Linked DNA regions of Saccharomyces cerevisiae S288C. The gene in region 1 interacts genetically with each later gene. Each region holds a gene or a part of one and is shown on either strand. Other genes may lie near its edges.

Region 1 (6,522 bases):
AGTTCTTAATAAAAGGTCAGCAAGAGTCAATCACTTAGTATTACCCGGTTCGTAGCCATGCAACAAGAGTCATTTGTCAGCATAGCTGTAATAATCAATCATGACGTAAGAAATGTATCATAATTAAAAGTTGTTAAAGATGTCAGTGTTATGTTGGTGTTACAAAATTCTCGGCTTCTCACTAATATTTAATATCTCTTAAATTTTATCTGTCTTTGATTCTTTTAAGAAAAGTTATGTATTATTCAAGAAAAAGTCAATTCCGCATCAAAAGGTAAAATTTATATAAACTGCTTTAAAATTTCATGAAACTAGGCAACTTTTCGAAATGATCTTTTTCGAGCATGAAGTTTCTTTTATAATAACCTGGTCAAAAGCTTTCAATATATAATACATTTGGTATTTACGGAAATGAGATGATATACTGGTAGTGCGCTAGTCAAGTTCTAATTAAATTAAAATGCAAAATAGTAATGTCAGATGGACACATTGGGCGAAATAGCTAACCCATAAGCATGAATCCTGTAACTTATGTAATACGTTAATCACGATACGGCGTTACTAGTCTTCCTTTTGAGTGGTTTCTAATGTAGATTCTTGTTGTTCGTTAATTTGCTTCAAGCCGTTTAGCATTCCTGATTCGTTTGAAGATAGAGGAACAGATGCGCCAGCGAAAGATGATGATGCAATGGTAGAGGAAGTGTTGGTCGAATCTCCCTTTTTGGAAATAAAGTGTCGTTTTGATTCTAGATAGGCTTCTCGCAATTGATTGTGGAGATACTTCTTTAAAAGGGCCATACCTATGGGATGACATTCTAACCTATAGAGTAATTTCGTAATAGCATAGCAGATTTTTGACGCCCTTCTTTCTAGTAGAGGAGAAGCCCTTAGCTTGGGTGAGATGACTGAGGATGCGTTTGTAAATTCGGGATAATTGGAATTTCCAGTACCCTGCCCATTACCTCCCAGAATCCTTATATTAGGGCGTGTACTCAGTTGTAAAAACTGTCTCAATGAAGAAGATTGAGCAATTCTGGTCAAATACGTTCTTCTCCTGGACAGAGATTTTGTGAAGGGCAAATCCTGCCCACTTTCTTTTGTAATAAATGTGAGGAAAAACGCCAAGATATCAAAACTGTAAATTTGAGTAAAAAGATCTATTGCTGATACTATAACACCGTGGGGATCTTTTTCGATGCCCATATAGCTGTTAAAATTATCGAAACCCTGACGCACTTCGCTTTCAAAACTCCACCTAGAAATATTATCACCGTGTAACTGAGCTGTGGGTAATATTTTGAACGGAGAATAGTTCAAACAAGCGTTTAAAAACTTCTCAATGTTTGTCCTGCTTACCGATACCATGCGAAACAGCTCTTTAACAATGTCCAATATTTGGCTTAATTGGGAATATATTTGCTCTGTGGAAAATAACTGGCATGTGTTTCCTAAGCTAAATAAACAATTATCCAAGTTAGACAATAGTTCAATACTATGCAGTGTAAAATAATCAAAGAACTCCGGGAAAATGAAAAAATCTTTATAAAACATGATATATTCATCTTTTAGTGCTATATTAGGTGGAATTTCTCGTCTTTTCAAAGCGTCCAGAAGGTTTTCCAACTGAAGAACATTCAGCCTTCTCAAAACGCTCATGATAGTATCACTATCATGATATTCGTCGATAAGAAGAGAAAAGAGCTTCTGGCCCAAGTTTACCTGACTTTCGTTGACTGCGTTGGTTGAGAAATGAGGCCTATTGAATATCTTTCTCAAAGGGTTAGGCCCAATCTTCACTTCTGCCACTGTATCTGGCTTTTCTTTTTCTGGACTATTATTTTCATAAAACACTCCCTCATCCACATCGTAGTAATAATCCCAGATATCTAACTGGTATCGGAAAATTGGATTGGCAGTTCCGATAATTGCAAAGCATCCGACAAAATCACTATTCGATGCTACATACGCCCGCAAACCGTCAACAAGAGAAATGTCCATATAGGGAAAAATCAACGCAGCATTTCCTTTGAAGTATGATTGTGGATCGCTAGCATAAGTTGCCGTTATGTTGGCTAATGACAAAATAAAAGCGCATAGGTCTTCTTTACTCAGTTTAGTTGAATTGATGACTAACTTCCATGCATTAACTTTTTGTCCGGCTTTAAGAAGGTAAGGGACAAATTTATCCAAAAATTTTAAAACTAGTTCATTATAATCATTTTCAATATAAATAGGCTCTCTTCTAATCATATTAAATTGCAATGGGATTTTTAACAAAAATGGCGGGAGCGTCTTTGGCTGAAATCTTGTAAAATGATATTGAATGAGTTGGTCATGAAAAGTCACAATGTTACCATACTTGTCCTTAGTGTCAAATCCATTGATGCAAAAGAGTTTCTTTAAAGTGGAATCCGGGTCTAAAAATACTTTGGTAATGATAGATTCGTCATGGATAGAGTGTAGCACTTCTTGTATACTACTTTTGGAATGTATGTCATTAATCAATGTAAGGTCAATACTGTTTAGCATATTAAAGCAATCAAGCAGTATGTCTGTAGCAGCAGCTTGAGTGGGAGCTTTCATATACAAGTCTAACACTAATACAATAATATTTTTGAATGCAAAGAAGGTTTTTAATGGTGTTCCGATGGCAATCGACTTGATTACTGCCCCTCTATCGTTCGTGGTGTCTAATACTGTGTTGGCGACATTTATGAAAAATAAAGGTTCGTTGTCGATGGCTTTCTGATTATTCTGAACTTCCTGGCATTCGAGCTCATCATCTTCCAAGACAATAGTGTATCTATTATTTTTTGCATCTTGATGATTTTCGGCATCGTAATATATGCTATTGGTAACACTACCATCTGACTGTTCACGATGATGCAGATTGAAACTGAAACGAGGGTCTTTTGGCACAGGAAAGAGTTGATAGTTTTGAGTAAACTTATTGTAATAAAGGGTAAACACTGTAATATCTTGTTTGCCGGGATTTCTCTCTATGCTACTCGGTATCATTAAACTTGCCAAGTTCATAGACACCGACGTATTGCCGTTGCGTTGCTCATGTGAGAACTGATTGAAACCTGGAATATCTTTCGGGTATTGGTGCTTCAAAATAGGACCTAATTTATTATCAAATTCTGCGGATATTATATAGCTGACATTCGGCCTTTCAAAAGGAAAGGATTCATTTTCTATCGACCTGTTGCTGATAGAGTTATTTAGTTCTCTTCGCAACATCCGGTAGCCAAAAATGTTTGCGTACCAAAGACTCTAACAGTGGGCGGTACTATGCTTGATCTTGATTTTATAGAGCTTGCACTTTTATAGAAGAACCATTGCTACCTAGACAGTTTTTTTTGTTTACATTCGAATCATTTTTTTTTTTGCATTTAGTTAAATCCGAAGTCCTGACTAGATAATTTACTGTCAGAGAATAGTAGCATCTATGCAAGAAACTGGTATACAATAGTCGAGAGGTTGTTGTAAAAAACACAAAATACTAACACAAAGCCTGGCTGTTGAGATTGTGCGACATTCTTGATCAGTAAATGGTATTACAGACTGTCTATCAATGTTACATACTTGCTTATTACACGATTTATTGTATTTAAAGTGCAGAAAGAGTCTCAAAGATGTAAAAAACTGCAGCGTTTGCTGGTACTGCCCTAAAAAGGGTTATACCCAGTCCTCGATAAAAACCCTTTAGTCCAAATTTGCCAAATATCTTCTTCACCGCATTGGTGAGGCTTATATGTTCAGTTTGCATTACTGATTTCACAGTATCCGCAGGAAAAATACTGGCGTTGAATGCCAATCCAGCGCTCCCTCCACTAATAAGTAGTTCCCATATCTTACTTTCATCTCTTTTTGGGTCATCAAGGGAGTGCCTATCTTTCAACGACTTCTTAACTATTTCGTAGGTTGCAAACCAGGCAACACCACCGAAGCTTTCTCGAATAAAAGTGCCCGATTGCCCTTGCCACAATCCTGCCAATCCTCTCTCAGTTATAATTGCTTTTATTGTAGGCAACACCTTTGTATGTTTCGTTTTAGCTGATGCAACTTGTAAGTTCGCAACCTGCAACTTACACTTCACCAGCTCCACGGGTGTCAAAACTAAACTAGCACATGAACCCGCTACTCCACCAGAGATCAGGATTTGCCCCAACGGGGAAACGTTTGTATGTTTTTCTAAAAATTTAGAACATTGGTTATAAGACACAAATAATGTCGCGTTCTCCAGACATGCTCCAACTAAAGGTGAAGCAATGCCTTGAAAAAACCCTCGTGCTATTCCTTCATTTTGGTAAGTAAATTTTATACAAGACCATGTTGTTGGGAACACGTTGGATGCTTGTGTTTGCAACCTGACTTTCACAGTATCGAAAGGAAACTCGATCACCTTACCACAGGCGCCTGCAATGGAACCGTTTATTATATCGAGTATAGCGCCTTCTATTAATCCTTTCTTTTTACTGTCCTCCATTATACGTTGACCTTCCAGAATTTGAGTTCCCTATAGGTTAAAGAAAAGTTTCTACGACAAAGCATCTACGCTTTAACAATTAACTATACCCGTGCTTCGATAATTTCACACTTTTCTGAATCTATCGACGCCAGGAGCAGAGAACTTATCATTGGCGATTCTTGACGCTGCGGCCACAGCGGCCACAGCGGAAAACGTATATGTCACATTTTTCGAGCTCAAGGTGAGTCACGATGCAGAACTGGAACGTACTAGGACTAAGTTGCAACGATGAAACTACAATGCTACGCTTTCTTCGTGCTAAGTACTCATTGTATCCATTAATATGGTCCACAAAAAGGGTAGGCTGCTGTTGTGCTTCATTAAGACTGGTCAAAAACACGGATCCAGCAGCAACAGCACCTGCATGGATGGAATAGGATTGGTGCTAAATCACTTGGAATTAAACACAAGGATTTTGGTCGGCAATATTATATAAATATAGTCAGATGAGTGCTTCATTTTTGTTGATAAGTATTAATGAAGATTAAGTGTGGATAATACTGTCTTTGATACTATACATTTAATGTGACGAATTGTATGACTCGTATACATAACTACCAAAGCGTAGATCTTTAACTTATTTTCAGCACTGTCCGAAATGCTCAGTTAGCAGTTTAGTACATTCACGTTAAAACGTGTATGTTCGAATAAAAATCAACTCACTCATCGACTGATATTCATACTACTGGTATATTGTCATACGGTGTAAGAAGATGACATAAAATCGAAAAACAATGGTAAAGTATAATGGCAACTGAAATGCAAGGATTTGATAACGTCATAAAATGATGAAAAATATAAAATGGAGGGAGAAGTAACAGGTACGTAGAAATATTGGTTCCCTTTATGGATCCCTATATCATCGTGCAGAACTTCTCGTATATTCGATATACCTAAATTATAGCCCTTAACAATAATGAAATCCTAACGATTATCCCGAAAATTCACCTATTTCTCAGTATATGAAATGTACATTAACGTAAACACTCATCTTGCTACCATCATTATTTATATTGACATTAATGATCACTTGCTGCAACATTTTTTTATTTTTTCAAATCATATGAAACAAGTATTAATAAAAACACCGTTAACCCAACAATTAAAATCCGTGATAGTTTAATGGTCAGAATGGGCGCTTGTCGCGTGCCAGATCGGGGTTCAATTCCCCGTCGCGGAGATTTTTTTGCTGATTTGATGTGTTCTCGAACTTTGTGATGCCGAAAAAATCAAGGTAATTCCGCCATAGCTACTATATTAGCTCTAAAAAACATCTAAGAATAAAATGGTATTTCAATCATATGTACATATCTAAGTAAAGTTTTTTTTTTTTTAGAAACTTTCTTTATTCATATTTTGAATCAATTCAATTATTTCGGAAAGATCCTCTACTGAAACGTCTACTAGTTCTTTATGTTCGAGCAGTAAATGTCCATTCACATGATTCTTGAGTAATACCGTGAAACATCCAGCAGATCTACCGGATTTCATGTCGTCAAATGAATCTCCTACCATGATCATTTCCAAGGGCCTTATATTTAGCTTCGAGGCGATGTGTAATAATGGGTCTGGTTGCGGTTTTGTAGGCCTAAACTCCCTTGTCACAATATAGTCAAACCTCGAAAGCTCGGATGGAATAAATCTTTTAACAAAAGTCTCTACCGGGGCTCCGACATTTCTAGTACATATGTTCTTGCTAATACCATTTTTCGTCAAATACCTCATTATGTCAACCAGACCAGGCTGCGGTTGCATCTCCTTCATGGCTTTTGCCTCAACTAATTCTATTCTATCATGCGCTTCTTTTTTTTCTTTTTCTGTGGGCAATGTATCAATGAAATGAAGGATATCAATCGATTTGTCCTCCAATCCTATGGCGTTTCTCATTGCTGGAAACATCCAAGGCTGGGGTAGGCATAATGTGCCATCCATATCAAATACAACCGCTTTGATGTGTTTTAATCCCTGTAGTCCTTGTAGCTTTGTCA
Region 2 (3,233 bases), on another chromosome or scaffold:
GCGATCAAAAATGAAGTGAAAGAATGGGCAGTCACTTTAGACACTTCGAGACCAGATCTTGAATGGCAAGAATTGACTTCATTCTCATCACAACCACTGGAACCGTTGTCGGATACAGAAGAGCCAGACCTTGCGATTGCAGATGTTGAGACAAAGTTAGAAACAAAAGTCGATGAGCTAAGGTACCAGTCGCATATATTAAACTCGCACTCACTAGCCTTAAACGAAATAACAAATTCAAAAGTGAATAAATTGAACATAGAAACAATGAGAAAGATCTCAAGCGAAACGGACGATGACCACTCACAAGTGATTAATCCTCAACAGCTGTTGAAGGGATTAAGTTTATCTTTCAGTAAAAAACTGGATTTATGAAATAAAAGAAAAAATCAAAAAAAAATCGGATACTTCTGCATATGTAACATTACACAGTCATACATTTATATATACATATATATACATATTAATGTATTTGAAAAAGCAAAAGAACCATTCTATCCTTAGTTAAAGGGCGAATCAGTAGCAGCGCTACCACTATTGTTATTGTTTTCGTTTGCTGTCATGGTATCGTGGTGGTAAATAATACTTTCTTGAAGTGATAATGTTGATGACGATGCTGCTGAAGGGCTACCCATATCTAAAGATTTGAACAGCTGGAGTGGGCGTTCCAATAACCCATTTGAATGTTCATTGTATACCTGTAATCTTGTCATATGACTTTTCCAGACGGAGCTATTATCTGCTAATAAAATTATCCTGTCACGGGCAACATGTTCAATAAGCGTACACCATACGTGAGACAATTGTTCAATGCATTTATCGTAGTAGTAATTATTACTAGCTAATTCAAATCTGGGCAATTTGATAACTAATTCCGTGCAAATGTCTAAGAATTTTAATGATGCGTGCAAATTTTCCAAACGTGGTGGAATGTTATCCAGTATGAAATCCACCAAACAGTTTAAGAACTCCAGAATTTGAGGTTTCATTCTCACGAAAGCATAGTCATCTAATTTATTACTCTCATAAGACCTATTGTAAGGTATGCTCTGGTAAACGGCTTCTGATTTTTGTTTCAACATGTCCAGACACTTTTGTATACTGAAGTCTAATCCGATGACTCTCGTATGTACGCTTTGTTGTATTTCTGGATGTTTTGTCATCAAATCCACCAACAACTGCTGTAATTGGTTCTTGTTCATTAGTTCCATGCCTCGTTGCAAGGGCAGAGGCTGCCCTCTGATGAGCGATCCTGGCTGAGGCCTCCTCTTGGAGACGCCCCCATATTTCATCACATTCTTGTTACGAGGTAGTTCTTCCTCTTCTTGCTCCTCGTTGGCATACCGCCTTTTTTGTTTCACTCCAGCAGTTGGAATCATTACATTGCCTGTGCCTTGTGAACTGACTGTACTCTGTGTTATTTTACTGCTGGGTTTAAAACCCCATTCAAACCCCATCATAATGCTATACTGTCCTGTGTTTGTTGCTTTTGCCAGGTACCTTCGAACACACTAAGTGAGAATACTTGGTTAAGTATATTTTTAAGTAAGAAATTCCCACTCGCCGCATTATCACCCGCCCGCCGTTTCTTTTTCTGGCAAAATTTTCACTATGAATAACTAAAGAGATACATTCGATGGGCTTTAGATGAGGCCTTTTGAAGACCAAAACAGCACCAAATAGCGACACATTAAGCGTAATGGAACCTCAAGAAGAGTTTATAACTACCGAAGAAGTTGAGCAGGAGATTGTGCCCACTGTGGAGGTCGAACAAGACGTTCCCGTTGATATTGAAGGAGAGAATGACGACGATGATGAAATGATGAATGATGATGAGGAAGCTTTGGAGGTCGACATGTCCAACAACTCGCTTACCTATTTCGATAAGCACACAGACTCCGTGTTTGCCATTGGCCATCATCCTAACCTGCCGCTAGTATGTACCGGTGGGGGTGATAACTTGGCACATCTTTGGACATCACATTCACAGCCACCCAAGTTTGCTGGCACTCTAACCGGTTATGGCGAATCTGTGATTTCATGTTCTTTCACTTCTGAAGGGGGCTTCTTGGTCACTGCCGATATGTCGGGGAAGGTTCTTGTACACATGGGTCAAAAAGGTGGCGCTCAGTGGAAGTTGGCATCGCAAATGCAAGAAGTCGAAGAGATTGTTTGGCTGAAAACTCATCCCACTATAGCAAGGACGTTTGCGTTTGGTGCAACTGATGGATCTGTTTGGTGCTACCAGATTAATGAGCAGGATGGTTCTTTGGAACAGTTAATGTCTGGTTTTGTACACCAGCAAGATTGCTCTATGGGTGAATTCATTAACACCGACAAGGGTGAAAATACGCTGGAATTAGTCACTTGTTCTTTGGATAGCACTATTGTGGCATGGAATTGCTTCACTGGCCAACAATTATTTAAGATCACACAGGCAGAAATCAAGGGATTAGAAGCTCCATGGATTTCCCTATCATTAGCTCCGGAAACTTTGACCAAGGGTAACTCGGGTGTCGTGGCATGTGGGTCCAACAATGGTCTTCTGGCAGTAATTAATTGTAACAATGGCGGTGCGATTTTACATTTATCTACAGTGATTGAACTAAAGCCAGAACAAGACGAATTAGATGCCTCCATTGAATCCATTTCTTGGTCATCCAAATTCTCCCTTATGGCCATTGGCCTTGTCTGCGGTGAAATACTCTTATATGATACAAGTGCATGGAGAGTAAGACACAAGTTTGTTCTCGAAGATTCTGTTACAAAACTTATGTTTGATAATGATGACTTATTCGCATCGTGTATCAATGGTAAGGTTTACCAGTTTAATGCAAGAACTGGCCAAGAGAAGTTTGTTTGTGTGGGCCATAATATGGGGGTTCTTGATTTTATATTACTGCATCCTGTGGCAAATACCGGCACCGAGCAGAAGAGAAAAGTAATAACTGCAGGTGATGAAGGTGTATCTCTGGTGTTCGAGGTACCAAACTGATAGATAGTCGCGTATACATAAATAACAAAAAAACAAATTCAATAACATAAAATAAAAATACTTTTACATACAGAAGAAGAAACTTTATATATTCGACAAAGGAAAATGTAAAAAAAAAAAACACATTATTTTAAAAGAACTGCGCTCATTATCGTCGTTAACGATTTTATTATTACATGTTGAACGTTACATTGTCTTTTTGTCCCGATAGGTTGAAAGCTGAAAAAGTATAATGGGT
Region 3 (4,520 bases), on another chromosome or scaffold:
AATCCTGGCCCATATTCCTCTAGTAGAAAATACTCTTTTCTTGATTTCATGCAGATGTGTTTCAATTGACGTCGATTCTTCTGTTGCAGTAATTGGAGAATGTTACTGGGCACGTCCTCGGATTTAATAATAAGTGGATGATCTAAGCTCAAGTCAAGGCCTTTTGTTGCTTCTTTTACCGATGCTATGACTTCCCATGTTTCCATTATGAGAGGTCAGATCGTTCCTACCTATACGATCTTAACCCTTCAGCAGTTATGAATGAGGCTTCTGCCTGTTTTAACAGTGCCCATCACTTTTTTTTATTTTTCTTAAATGGACCATGTTGTACACCAAGATAGCCGATATTTCAAGGTCGCGTATAATATAACATTTTGCCTAGGATTTTTGTCACCTAGAAATATATATACAGGGAAATCTAAGACATCGAATTATGTGATGAGTAAATAATTTAAAATTTGTAAACTTTGTAAATTCTTTATTAGTAAAATATTATATACCTAATAGTGAGGGACATTTAAGCAGATGAAGAGCATGTTTATTACGCTAAAGATACCTTCACCTAAGACCAACCCCGAACTGAATACAATCATTTTTGTTTTCGCATTTAAGTCACCCCTATGATTCTTCAACCAAAAATGCGAAGCCCACCCGCCGATGAATCTTGCAATTGTAAAACTGGGAGAATTAAATATACCAACACCGACTGCTACACCAGACGGAATATATAATATCCACCCGTATCCGTAATCTCTATAAGTGTTTCTGATTAATGATAAAACGGCAAATATGACTCCGAGAATCATGGAGCACTCCAAGGCCTTATCAGGGAGCCCTTTACCAGTTACTAGTCTTGCACAATCTATCCACACTACTGCTGTCGGTATCCTGAATTGCTCACTCGGAATTGAATAAACTTTATTGTAGCACAAATACATGAAGCTAGACAAAATAATTGACCAACAGGCCCCTATCAATTGGGCACAGAACTGAGCTCTTGGGGAGGCGCCGAGGAGGTGCCCCGTTTTCAAATCCTGCATTAAATCGCCCGCCTGTTGGGCAGAGGCTTCTGCAATACCTCCCGATACCACGTTCATTAACACTGATCCAGGTCTATCCCTTGGTATGATAAAGGCAAAAATCAATTGAGAGATCTTACCAATGCCGCTCACAGGATTCAGATCGGTCTCTCCAAGTGCTCGAATACCGAGAATAGATAGAAACAACGCAAGTATCAAAGCAGTGATAATAGCATATAGGGGAATTACTTGTATCCCAAACAAATATATTATGGAAACAATGCATATTATCGAGGAGACTAGACATCCACTGATAACGGTGGTATAGCGAACCAAATGCTTCGAATCTACTTCTATTTCGTTATCTCTACTCACTAATCTTACGGTGTCCTGCCTTCCATCAACATATGTATTTCTTCTGCTGCTATTAATGGCGCGTTCCTCCTCCAGTAACATAGATTGAAATGTATCATCGATTATGTTGTTCAGTAAAGCAGCTTTGTCATCTATAAGAATAAATTTCACAATGGACTTCACTGTCACAACAATAAAAGCGACTACACTGTCAGCAACCATTATTGAAAGCGACGACCAAAGAATCCATCCTTGCACTCCCTCCTCCCAGTCGTGGACATCAGCATCTGGTGGTACCCATCTTTTGTATCTCGCCAATGGTGCTAACACACCCCAGCCTAAGAAGCACCCGATAAGCATATACGATACTGTTGGAAGACCCATTATTATCCCTTGGCCTATATACGCAGGCGACGGCTGAAAATTCCAGAGATAATTGTTCGAGAGGTATTTTCCGAAGACTGGAATAGACCGTATTACCGGTACAAAATATGACACCATGGTGTAAAGCGAAGAAACAACAAAAGTTTTCAATAAAATAATAATATTCGCTCTGTAGTTCTCAGAGCCAGTAGAAAGGATAGAACTTCCATCTTGGCTAGTTGCCGTATAATCACCAAGTTCGCTATGAGAAGAGTTCATTAAATAATCCGCCTCCTCTGGATCTCTGTTGGGTTGTAGCACTTCAGGGCATTCATTCAATCTCCTCTGCCTCATTTCCAATAACTCTGACTTAGAAACCTCTTGTAAAATCTCAGTTCCATTTAGCACTGAAATTAAAGTGGCCGTGGCGCTACCACTGGGGAAGGGAAGTTTCTCTCTAACAATTACTTGCTTTCTTAGAGGAACTGCAAAAAAAATACCGAAGAATGCTAGGGCTGTGGACCATATTAACAATTCTCTAAAAGTGAAGGACTGTCCTTGTTCCCTTAATCCACCACTTTCGTCGTTAGTAAGGAACTTCTCGATGGCAGGTATGACGCCGACAAACCCAAAGGCTAATGGGCCTGTTCCGACAGCTACTGCCATACTTTGTACGTATACATTTTCAACGTCACTGAAAGGCCTGTCGTTCGGAAATATTAATGGCCAGATATTTTTAAAGAAAGCACAAGCTAACAATGCCGATGGCAGGGACATCATGGAAACCCAACCGGTTTGCAGGCCAAATTGAAAATTTGATGTTAGCACCAGAGACCCTATAGCGATACCTGCTATGGTTGCTCGGAGTGTTATCTGCTTCAAAGCAGGTTTATTATCCCATGGTACACGCTGTACTTCTTGACTTGGAGTAGATTGAGGCATTTCAAAGTATTTACAGTACCGATTTAGAATCTTTAACGGTTAGTCCTCTATACTGTGACTCTTTTTCTTCCTATCTTGGTGCGAAAATAAAAAAAATGATGCCTTGAGATAGATCTCACGAAAAATACCTTCTACGGCGTTAAATTTACAGCTTTTCTTTAGCTGCCTGTACCTTTTTGATGAACTAATTTATTTTGGTATCAACAGACAATACTACAAAAGGCTTTGCATTATCTTCCTTCACCCTTATATGCAGCATTCCCCCCTCCCAGAGATCGCATCAGTATCATTACTAATCGATTTTTCACTTCGCTTTATAACCGAATTTCCGCCGAATTATACCCAAAATAAGCAAGATGAAAATATATTGGTCAGATGAAGTATGCATGACTGATTAATCATGACTTTATTAGTTGCATTTATTTATAGTATGTACACAAAAATCTCATCGGCTCGTTTCAGTTGCTACCTAGAAGGATATATTTGAGAATATCGCTTAACGTCAAGACACCAACCAACCGTCCGACGTCATCAACTACAAAGAATCTATGCACCCTTGCTTTTCTGATGTTATCCATAATAGTAGATAATTTATCATTCTTAGTGCATGTATAAACACCCTCAAAATCATCACTTCTCCTCATAAGGGCTTCTCCGACGCTCAATGACAGGTCGTTGTAGATGCCTCCTTTTATCAAGCCTAGGACATCGTATGCTTCATATACGTTGATTAAGTAGCCGTTTTCGTCAATAATAGGGACGGAAGAAACCCGACCTTGGGTAAGCATCTGAATGACGTCTATGACCGGAGTGGTCATTTGACAGCTTTTCATGTTATCTTGCGTAATAATGTTCAAGTCCCCAATTGGAATCTTTAGAAAATGTGTTTCCCTGCAATTTAAAGCAACGAACTTCAGAATTCTATATTGCGTAAGAACACTAACGACAATTTCTCTATGTGTCTCTTCATCTTGATCGATCAGTGGTATTCTACCACTTCTTGATTCTAACATCTTAAGACACGCCTCAAATAAGGGTCTAGAAGGATGAATTGAAGCTGTATCTAGTTGATCAACACCGAGAGCACGCTCTATATCTTTTAATCCATCTAACTGTAATTTGTCTACTAATTCGAACTTATCTGGATTGGAGAAGTAATACTGGATGACATTAATAAAATCTGTAGTAGTTAGAAGTCCAGCGAACCTGGAAGTCTTGGAGTCCCATAATGGCGCAGAGACAATGCTATTTTGCAAAAGAACATTCAGTGATTTCTTCACTAACAACGAGGTGTCCAAGACAATTAAACGGTAAGAAACAGGCAACACGTCATAAGATGTTTTCGAGTTCAAAAACTTCCTTATCGATTCTACAGCTAACTGCTGTTCAATAGAAACCTTTTCTTGTGAATCCTGTGTCGGTTTCATTATGTATTTTCCTTTTCGCTTCCTCCTAATGCTAACACAGCAGAAGATGTTTAGCTAACGTTAAAAGATTGATACAATTTTCCAGTTTGCAGCAAAACCACTAGCCCAAGAAGTTCTCAATGTAGATATTATGTTAATAACGATTATTGCATTGCTATGGTTTCTTCCAAGGCCTAAATTTTGTTATTTGCTAAATTTCTCTCCCTCCCAGTTCTCGCGCGTGTGGTGTGTGGGTTCTTTAACATGTGATGAGTTATATCTTGATGTATTCTCAAGGTTCATTACTTTTATTTCTTAAGCTTCTTGAATACATTTATGTTTATACATTATGTATGCGTGTATGGAAATTTCATTATATGCCTTGACATGAACTTTTATTTTTTTTATTTTATCACCTGATCAAATATTGGCTGGT

What was found. A genetic interaction does not mean that the proteins touch.
Region 2: mutations in AFI1 (region 1) and STS1 together harm fitness more than expected from each alone (negative genetic interaction), as found in Saccharomyces cerevisiae (one large-scale study listed by BioGRID).
Region 3: mutations in AFI1 (region 1) and YGL114W together harm fitness more than expected from each alone (negative genetic interaction), as found in Saccharomyces cerevisiae (one large-scale study listed by BioGRID).

What each region holds. Positions count from the first base shown.
Region 1 is NC_001147.6:566,316-572,837, forward strand, and holds AFI1 (Afi1p), read right to left. Parts: upstream 3,244-6,522; coding exon 562-3,243; downstream 1-561. Other genes in the region: ORT1 (Ort1p), read right to left, coding at 3,614-4,492; YOR131C (putative haloacid dehalogenase-like hydrolase), read right to left, coding at 5,867-6,522. UniProt on the Saccharomyces cerevisiae protein: Involved in actin patch polarization. Required for maintaining a proper budding pattern in yeast cells. Required for proper polarized localization of the ADP-ribosylation factor ARF3 at the plasma membrane.
Region 2 is NC_001141.2:376,787-380,019, forward strand, and holds STS1 (Sts1p), read right to left. Parts: upstream 1,461-3,233; coding exon 501-1,460; downstream 1-500. Other genes in the region: MIND complex subunit DSN1, read left to right, coding at 1-375; SQT1 (Sqt1p), read left to right, coding at 1,700-2,995; GAT4 (Gat4p), read right to left, coding at 3,233-3,233. UniProt on the Saccharomyces cerevisiae protein: Involved in ubiquitin-mediated protein degradation. Regulatory factor in the ubiquitin/proteasome pathway that controls the turnover of proteasome substrates. Targets proteasomes to the nucleus and facilitates the degradation of nuclear proteins.
Region 3 is NC_001139.9:291,618-296,137, reverse strand, and holds YGL114W (uncharacterized protein), read right to left. Parts: upstream 2,679-4,520; coding exon 501-2,678; downstream 1-500. Other genes in the region: SLD3 (Sld3p), read right to left, coding at 1-206; AMP-activated serine/threonine-protein kinase regulatory subunit SNF4, read right to left, coding at 3,137-4,105; ubiquitin-protein transferase activating protein CDC20, read right to left, coding at 4,497-4,520.